Nothobranchius furzeri: one gene and its partner. The protein of the gene in region 2 purifies or fractionates together with the protein of the main gene of each other region. This does not show direct contact. Links are inferred from orthologs where the notes say so. Each region holds a gene or a part of one and is shown on either strand. Other genes may lie near its edges.

Evidence for each region. Proteins that work in one complex are often made in the same cells at the same time.
Region 1: the proteins of pop1 (region 2) and rpp38 purify together in Homo sapiens (affinity purification with mass spectrometry; 3 studies listed by BioGRID and IntAct, with this or other methods). This does not show direct contact. The link is inferred for Nothobranchius furzeri from reciprocal best matches to the Homo sapiens genes POP1 and RPP38.

What each region holds. Positions count from the first base shown.
Region 1 is NC_091745.1:79,260,969-79,264,413, reverse strand, and holds rpp38 (ribonuclease P protein subunit p38), read left to right. Parts: upstream 1-1,304; 5' UTR 1,305-1,496; intron 1,497-1,771; exon of another isoform or gene 1,772-1,907; intron 1,908-1,998; 5' UTR 1,999-2,000; coding exon 2,001-2,813; 3' UTR 2,814-2,839; downstream 2,840-3,445. Other genes in the region: acbd7 (acyl-CoA-binding domain-containing protein 7), read right to left, coding at 46-119, 237-296, 380-497, 1,076-1,087. UniProt on the Homo sapiens protein: Component of ribonuclease P, a ribonucleoprotein complex that generates mature tRNA molecules by cleaving their 5'-ends. Also a component of the MRP ribonuclease complex, which cleaves pre-rRNA sequences.
Region 2 is NC_091745.1:50,269,210-50,273,564, reverse strand, and holds the start of pop1 (ribonucleases P/MRP protein subunit POP1), read left to right. Parts: upstream 1-1,530; 5' UTR 1,531-1,662; intron 1,663-1,825; 5' UTR 1,826-1,828; coding exon 1,829-1,946; intron 1,947-2,568; coding exon 2,569-2,679; intron 2,680-2,773; coding exon 2,774-2,949; intron 2,950-3,037; coding exon 3,038-3,298; intron 3,299-3,369; coding exon 3,370-3,457; intron 3,458-3,561; coding exon 3,562-3,740; intron 3,741-4,355. Other genes in the region: 2-iminobutanoate/2-iminopropanoate deaminase, read right to left, coding at 1,217-1,347. UniProt on the Homo sapiens protein: Component of ribonuclease P, a ribonucleoprotein complex that generates mature tRNA molecules by cleaving their 5'-ends. Also a component of the MRP ribonuclease complex, which cleaves pre-rRNA sequences.

The DNA.
Region 1 (3,445 bases), about 29 Mb from region 2:
GACAAACAGCAGCTTCACCTCCAGCCTCTTTGTTCCGTAAAAACCTCACATCCCATATTTGCTGATAATTCCATTAGCTTCTGTGATGTACGTTGCCATGGCATCATCCTTGGACATTCCTGAGTCGATGAAAAAGACTCCAGTTAGAAACAAGACAGAATGAATCCGTTTCTGTTTGAGTGGTCACAATCAATGCAAAATTGAAATAAAGTTGAAATGCATTCATTCACTGTTACCTTTTCTGGATTGCCAGGCATCCCACTTGGCTTTTCCTGTTGGGTCTACCGTTGGTCTTTCTACGGACCACACAGAATACGATAAAATGGTCAGAATTTAAAGCATCAAATGGAAATCAATCCATTTGTGTGCATCGGCTCACCAGTGTTAACGTCTCCGACTAGGACCTGTTTATAGAGACCGTACAGAGTCAGCAGCTCCTCATTTGTAGGCTGCGTTTTCACCTTCTTCACATCGTCCGCTACCTTCTTAAACTCTACCTGCAACAGAAATAAATGTTCAGAATTAACGTTCTTGTTAACACCTGTCAGGTTAGACAGATTAATCCATCCCAAACAAAAAAGAAAAGAGGCACCAATAAGGAGAAAACCGCTCCACACACAGTAGTCTAGCCCAGAGCAATGCCTGGGAAACAAACTTGTTCAAGCTGGACGTAAACAAAGAACTTTCATTCAAGACTCTGGTGCTTTTGTGCCGGCATGAATAATCAGCTTTACAAAGAATCTGGGACATTGCAGAGCTGATCATTATTGCCCTCTTTAGGATGAATAACCCCACCTTCCAAAAAATGCATAATTTATTATTTTTTATCCTTATTATTATTATCAGATTTATCATTAAAAACTGAGTCTCTGTCAACAATCACAATCTTGTTAGTTATTTAGAATTTAAATCTTATGCTCATTCAGCATCAGGGCCAAAAACCACAGGAGGAACCGAGTGAACCTGTTATTTTTTTCCCAAAGATGGATGATGCCAAACATCTGCTAGAGATGATGTCATGAAGACCCAAATGAGCTAAACTAATTAAATAAAAGCAGAAATGTCAGGAGTTTACCTCGAGGGCCATCTCGGTGGAAGCAGACACGGAGTGCAGCTTGGGGTGTCGGTTCCGGAAGGTCCAGAGCAGTTGTGATTGCACCACAGCTGACCAAAGCAATATTTATCAGCTGAGGGCTGCAGAGGAGGGGGAGGACGGAGAGATGAGCTGCAGATCTGAGCGCTGATTGGTTGCAGGACACGCGCGTGCGCACAAACGCATTCGCGCAGAGAAACGTGTAGTATGTATTATAGGGAAACTTTTGCTTCATAAAGCGCTTTGTAACAATAGAGGCGGTTCCTTCAGTGCTAGAGGGAGCAGATTATCATTTTTAAATAAAGTTTGTGCATTCAAACCAAGATGGCGGCCTCCTACTTTCCCCGTGGTGTTGGTCTCAAACGTGTACGCTACTTCTAAATCTGCGTCTACATTATTACAGGTAAGTTCATTTTGGGTTTCAACCCCATTATTGTTGAGTTTATTTGTGTTTAAGACGGAACTGATTTGGCTGTTTTGGGAGGGTTTCTTCATAGATGTGTTTATATGCATATCTATGGGATTCTGGTGTCTGCCGCTGAAACGTTTCATCCACAACTTCCGGTTCCGGTTGCGCCTCGTTTTTGGAATTCTGTGCGAAGTTGGTGTTTGATTTTGAAAAGAGTTTGGACTATGACGCATTAAGGACACAGAGAAAGGATTACGGATTTTTATTTAGAAGCTGGACACTTTAATTTAAAAAGAAGGCTGCCGTGGTAGGTTGGACTGGAGCTAGCCAGAAGATCCAGTTTACTCCTAAGTGATGCCTGCTGAAGGAAAGCACGCCAACACACACTTCAGGGACCATACATTTGTAAATAAGTGTGATAACTTATCCTGAAGTTACCAGAAAGTTCCTAATTCGTTTGGTTTGTTTATCCCAGTTTCTCTTGTTCTGGTTTCAGACATGGCAACCAAAGAAAAGTCCGCAAAGAAAGCCAGAAAGCACGTTCCAGCCAAGACCTCCTTCACGTCTCCACTGAGTGTAGGCTGGAGCTCGCTTCCTCAGGGTCATGCGCATTTCATCCTGAAAACCACGAAGGACAAACTGATCTCCACGGGTCTGATGAAAAAGGAGGTCAAAGTGCTGCGGCCACGGAAGAAGAGGGAAAAGGGGGGCTCCCTTTCCAAAGCAGAGCCTGCTCCCCAGGTGAGTCAGGTGGGGGATCCCATCAGGAACGGCTGGACAGATGTGGCGGCCAGACGACAGCTGGCCATCGGCATCAACGAGGTCACCAAGGCTCTGGAGAGGAACGAGCTCCAGCTGCTGCTGGTCTGTAAGTCCGCCAAGCCTCAGCACATGATGAACCACCTGATAGCCCTGAGTGTGACCCGAGGCGCGCCGGCCTGTCAGGTGCCTCGGCTGAGCGAGACCGTGTCGGGACCTTTGGGGCTGAAGAGCGTCCTCGCTCTAGGATTCAGACGGAGTTCTTCTGAAGACAACCAGGTGTTTACAGATGTCATTGATGCCATCAAACCAAAGGTGCCTCCGCTGGATGTTGCCTGGCTACAGAATGCATCATCCAGAGGGACTCCTGAACATCCTGCCGGTCAGGAAGATGGCCCAAGAGGCCAGAAACGGAAACTGGAGAGTGAATCTGAGAAGCACACAGAGAGTCCCCCCTCCCCGTGTTCTCTACAGCCTCTCAAAGTAAAGAGAATTATTGCTAATCCTGCAAAGAGACGCAAACAAAAGCCCAAGAAAAAGCCTGTGAAATGAAAACGGCTTGATGGTAGCATTAGGAAGTGCTGGTGTTTTTCCAGATGATGTCAGATTGTGACACACCTGCTGCCTAGCCTCGGCGTGGACATGGGTTTATGTTCCTCCAACATCGGACGCCTAAAGGGTTAAAAACAATCCCTGTTGTCCGGTATTCTGGTTTCCAGCTGATCGTTGTCATCCGAACGCTGAGGTGTCCTTTTATGTGGTTCAGTATTCCGCTGAGATCCATCTCAGATAATAATAATAATAGTAAAGATACTAAAACAAGCTCGAGTAAAAACTCTTTGCTGTTTGTCTTTCAGAGGTTAGATTTGATTTTAGTTGTGATAAAGAAACCACTCCCATGATTTCTGTTGCAGAAGAGCAAAAATACCGAAACCGCTTCTTTAATGATCCACGTACAGCAAAAGAAATGTGTGAAAATGGTTTTTCTATTGATAAAATAAAAAATACGTCATTATTTCCTTATTTGGATCCATTAGAGGACCAAATTGTGTTTTTTTTTATTTTTGGTGTGATACCAAACAACTGCTTCTTTTCCACAGAAGTCATTTTTTACATAATTTAGTCCACAGTGAGCTGCTGCATTTGATCCAACGAGTGTTCCTGACTGGGATGGATTTAAACCA
Region 2 (4,355 bases):
CCGGAACAAGGGCGAGGGACACCAGAGGGCGGCAGGTCTGACTCAAACAGGAAGCACTCTACTTGACATAGCCTGTCCTCCCGCACCGCCAGCGGCAAAATGCTGCAGTTCATGCACAGGTCAGTCAGCGCCTCTCTGAGGTGACCGACGCCCAGGCACTTAGGACACAAGTCGTGGCTGTCCTCCACCTGGAGGGGAGCCCCGCATGACTTACACTCCAACATCCTTACCGGTGTGGGAGACGCCAGTGACTCCACAGGAACTGAGCGAGGACTTCGAGGAAAACTGAAGAACGCGATTCAGTCCTGGAGTTGTAAAACAACACACGTGCGTGTGTGTCGGCTAGGTAATCTGAGCGTGCCACCACCACGGTCAGAACGTCCAGCCCCACTCACCGGTAGCGTTGTAAAACAACACACGTGCGTGTGTTGGCTAGGTAATCTGAGCGTGCCACCACCACGGTCAGAACGTCCAGCCCCACTCACCGGTAGCGTTGTAAAACAACACACGTGCGTGTGTGTCGGCTAGGTAATCTGAGCGTGCCACCACCACTGTCAGAACGTCCAGCCCCACTTACCTGTAGCGCTCGCCGGCCGCACTCACCTCCCCTTTCCACAGGGGAAATCCTGCGACCGCCAGCGAGCCCTATCCGAGCCGGCAGCGGCGGTCCGAACGGCGCCGGCCGGCCGCACCACCCGCACTCGGTAACAATTAGCAGATAAATAACAGCGTCAATCCACCGCCCCAGAGGGCTCCTTCGAGCGCTCCGACCACACGGTCCCGGGCAGGAAGACGCCAAGTAAAAACAGTACTCACCTCTCAAGACCGATAAGATCCGAATCACGGACTTACGGAGCGATTGACCAGCGAAGCACGCCAGGCCAACAGCGAGAAGATCAAAGAGACCCGAACGTAGCTATCGGCGCGTAATTTATAGACTCGCGACCAGGTGCGCTACGTGTCACGTGCGTGACTTTGTTTACATTAGTACTCGACCTGCGCAGAGCGCGAGGAGATACATCCACTCTGTTTACTGCCACTGGCAGTCAGGGGGGAACGAAACAGAACTTTGGGTGCCACCCATGCATTAACAGGTGCCCCACCTGGGCCACCCTTTCTAAAGCCTAGACACTCCACTGACTGTCCCCTAGAAGACATGACTCATCCTGTCCCACCTCAGCCCAGGTCCACGGCTGGTCCATCAGACTCCTCTCACCTGTATGGGCCGATGGCAGCAGGAGCTTTAGCGGTGCTGATGATTCTCCTGATCACAGCAGACATTTCTCTGGTCAGACTAAACTCACAGCTGACGACACGAGACCAACAGACTTCCGTTACCGTAAACATTCTGATACACACGCACAAACAATCATGTAGTTTTTATTTTACCATGTTAATATGGGTATTAATGATAGTTGCAACACAAACACCGCATACTCTGGTTTTTAGTCGTGTATATACATAATTGAAATGTATGGAGTAAATCTAGGTCTGAAGCTCGGTCTGAAGACGAACGCTCATTGCGTTTGTACACTACATTTCCCATGAGCCTGTGAGACGGACTCGCATGAAGCAAACTCACATGGTAGCTAGCTAACAGAGAGAAGAGAGCGTCCAAGAAACGTGTTGCTAATCTTATTGGAAAACAGCGAGGCACTACTGGTATGAATAATTTATATGTACTTGTAGCTTAGACGTGTTTTATTTAAGGTTCGGTGTTACAACTTTGTACGAGGGTTTGTTGCTAGCATAACAGTCACCGTCTTGTATGTGTTTGTGGTTCCAGCTGTGGTGCTAAAACAGCGTTTCCTTCTTCTTTCTACAGAAAATGTCCGCAGCTAAAGCCAAAATGCGAGAGAAGAAGATGAGGAATCAGCCTGCCAGTGTTCAGTATCCCTCTGGGGTGAACGGGGAGGGCGGCTCCCAGAACAGAGGACATGGTTCAGGTAACCGGTCTGTGTGCAGGGCAGCAGCTAGCATGGTGGCTCAGAGAAGGGGCCACGGGTGTTCATCTTTATACCACATCTGTGCAACTCACGTTAAATATCCGTCCCAGGTCATCTAAAGCATCTCCAGATGGATAAGGGGGTAGAGGTGTTACTTTGGTTCAGAGCTGTCATCACCACATGCTTCACAAGCTGCCAGTCTAAACTTCTCAGTGTGACCTTTTCCCCAGAGCATTTTCTTGTATTTGTTGTTATTTACTGAGACACTTAGTTCTGTTTAGCTAAGTCAACTGTATCACTTACACCTCCCCAATGAATCGCCCAGACATTACAAATGCTCCTGAACTCAAGGGATGAGCCAGTGGTGTGATGCGTAGTTGCTTGCTCTGATGGTGCCCACACCCAGCTGATGTGCCCTAAGCTCACCCTGGTGGTGAGAAACTACAAGAATCAGACACGTGTGTACTCGTTTAGGCAGGAGAAGAAACCATCTTTAATCCAGCTCCTCTCAAGACAAAAGTCATGAGGCGCTTCACAAGAATAAAAATCATATGGGAAAAGTTAAGCTTTGTTCTAACTTGCTGGATGTGCTGACTCTGAAAGTTCTGGAAATTCTCAAAAGGTGGACATCCATCCTCTAAGGAGAGGAAGAAACCTGAAGACACTGGATGGGTTCGAGGACATCAGAGATATGGTGGTGGTTATTCTAAGGAGATGCCCAAGTACATCACTGGTGAAAGCAGAGCCCGACATACTCTTTCTAAGCTCCCACTGTACCGTGCTGCTGCTAAAACTAATGCATTTCGTCCATCTTTCTCTTTGTCAAGGTGGAGCTTTTGCCAGAGCCAGAGCCGCCGAGGTGAAGGCCATGCTGAGAGCCGTCAGCCAGACGGCGTGCAGCAGCCATGTTTTTCAGGCTCTGCCTAAACACATGAGGCGACGGGCCATGAGCCACAACACAAAGCGTCTGCCCCGCAGGCTGAGAGACGTGGCTGACAGAATGGTTTCTGACATTTCCTGTTTTCTGTTAGTTTTTCCTTTAAAAGCTGCCTTCCTAGACTAGACTACCCCTTCTGTTCCACCCACCACAGCGGGAGAAAAGCCTCCAGGCTGGCTCAAAGAAGAAGAAAGAACCGGCTAAAAGCAAAAGCCGAAAAGCTCGCCGACGGCACGGGAACCTGCTGCTGGACTTCAACCGACGCCAGAGGAAGAACATTTGGCTGGAGACGCACATTTGGCACGCCAAGCGCTTCCACATGGTTAAAAAGTGGGGCTACTGCCTCGGGGACAGACCCACGTATAAATGCTATCGGTCGTGCTACAGAGCCATGAGCAGCCACTGCCTCCTGCAGGTAGCTGTTGTCTTTTTTTGTTTCTGTAGTTAGTTTATGAAGGTATCGAGCCGTGTGAATCTGTCTACCAGGACCTGTCTTACTATTGCTGCATCGAGCTGAAGGGTGAAGAAGACGAGCTGTTGGCTGCTCTGTCACAGATGACCAGCAAGGAGGCGGGTAAGCACATCCTTCTGGGTTTTCTCTAACCACCTGTGGACCTGTGGTCTCAGCTTTCAGTGGTGATTTTTGTTGTGGAGTCACAAGCTGGAGTCTGTTTCCAGGTCCTACGTTTGCTGCAGCCTTGTGTCTGTCAGGGCGCAGACAGGTCAGTGTTACCATCTACAGGATAGGACAGTACCCCTGCCAGCCCCTGGGTCCCGTCACCGTACTCTGGAGACCCAAAACACCGGGGATCAGGGGGAGACAGCTGTGGATCTGGGCTCATCCCACCCTTAAGCAGGTACGGTGGGTTTTTAGGAGACAAAGGTTGTATTTGTGAGTCACAGTACAGCCTGGTTATTTCTCCATGATGTGTAGGGCTGCTGCTACACCAGCTTTAATTTGTGGAAACACCTGCCTTGTATGCTCCTCTCTCTTCCACCATCAGAACCACTCTTCTGGTTTGCAGAAGCTTTTTCTTCCTGTAAAAGCATGTGTGTAGGTCCCTGCTACTTCTTACTGTAACAACCACTGGGAACACTCTGATTGGTTTTCCTGTTGATGTCTGTTTTATTTCTTGTAGAATCACGTTGAAGCCAGGCTAGTGAACTCTTCGTTGCCCTAAAAGGTCTAACAACTAGCTGTGTGTCTATGAGCGATACCAGCCTTAAACGACCCGATGGTTTCTTCTGCTGCATGCACCTTGCTGTCTCTGTAGTTTAGTTTGTGTGCTACCACTCGTGATCTGATTTAGTTGTGAGTTTTACTGCATAGTTCCTTTTTGTTGATATAAACTAGACTTTTGGCCATTTTTGGGTCCTCGTTTGGCCTCTCTGGCGCAGATGCTGTAGCCTAAGTCGGCTCTGCAGCAGTAATATCTGGATTAAACAGAGCATAAAATCTCAGGGTTTATTTA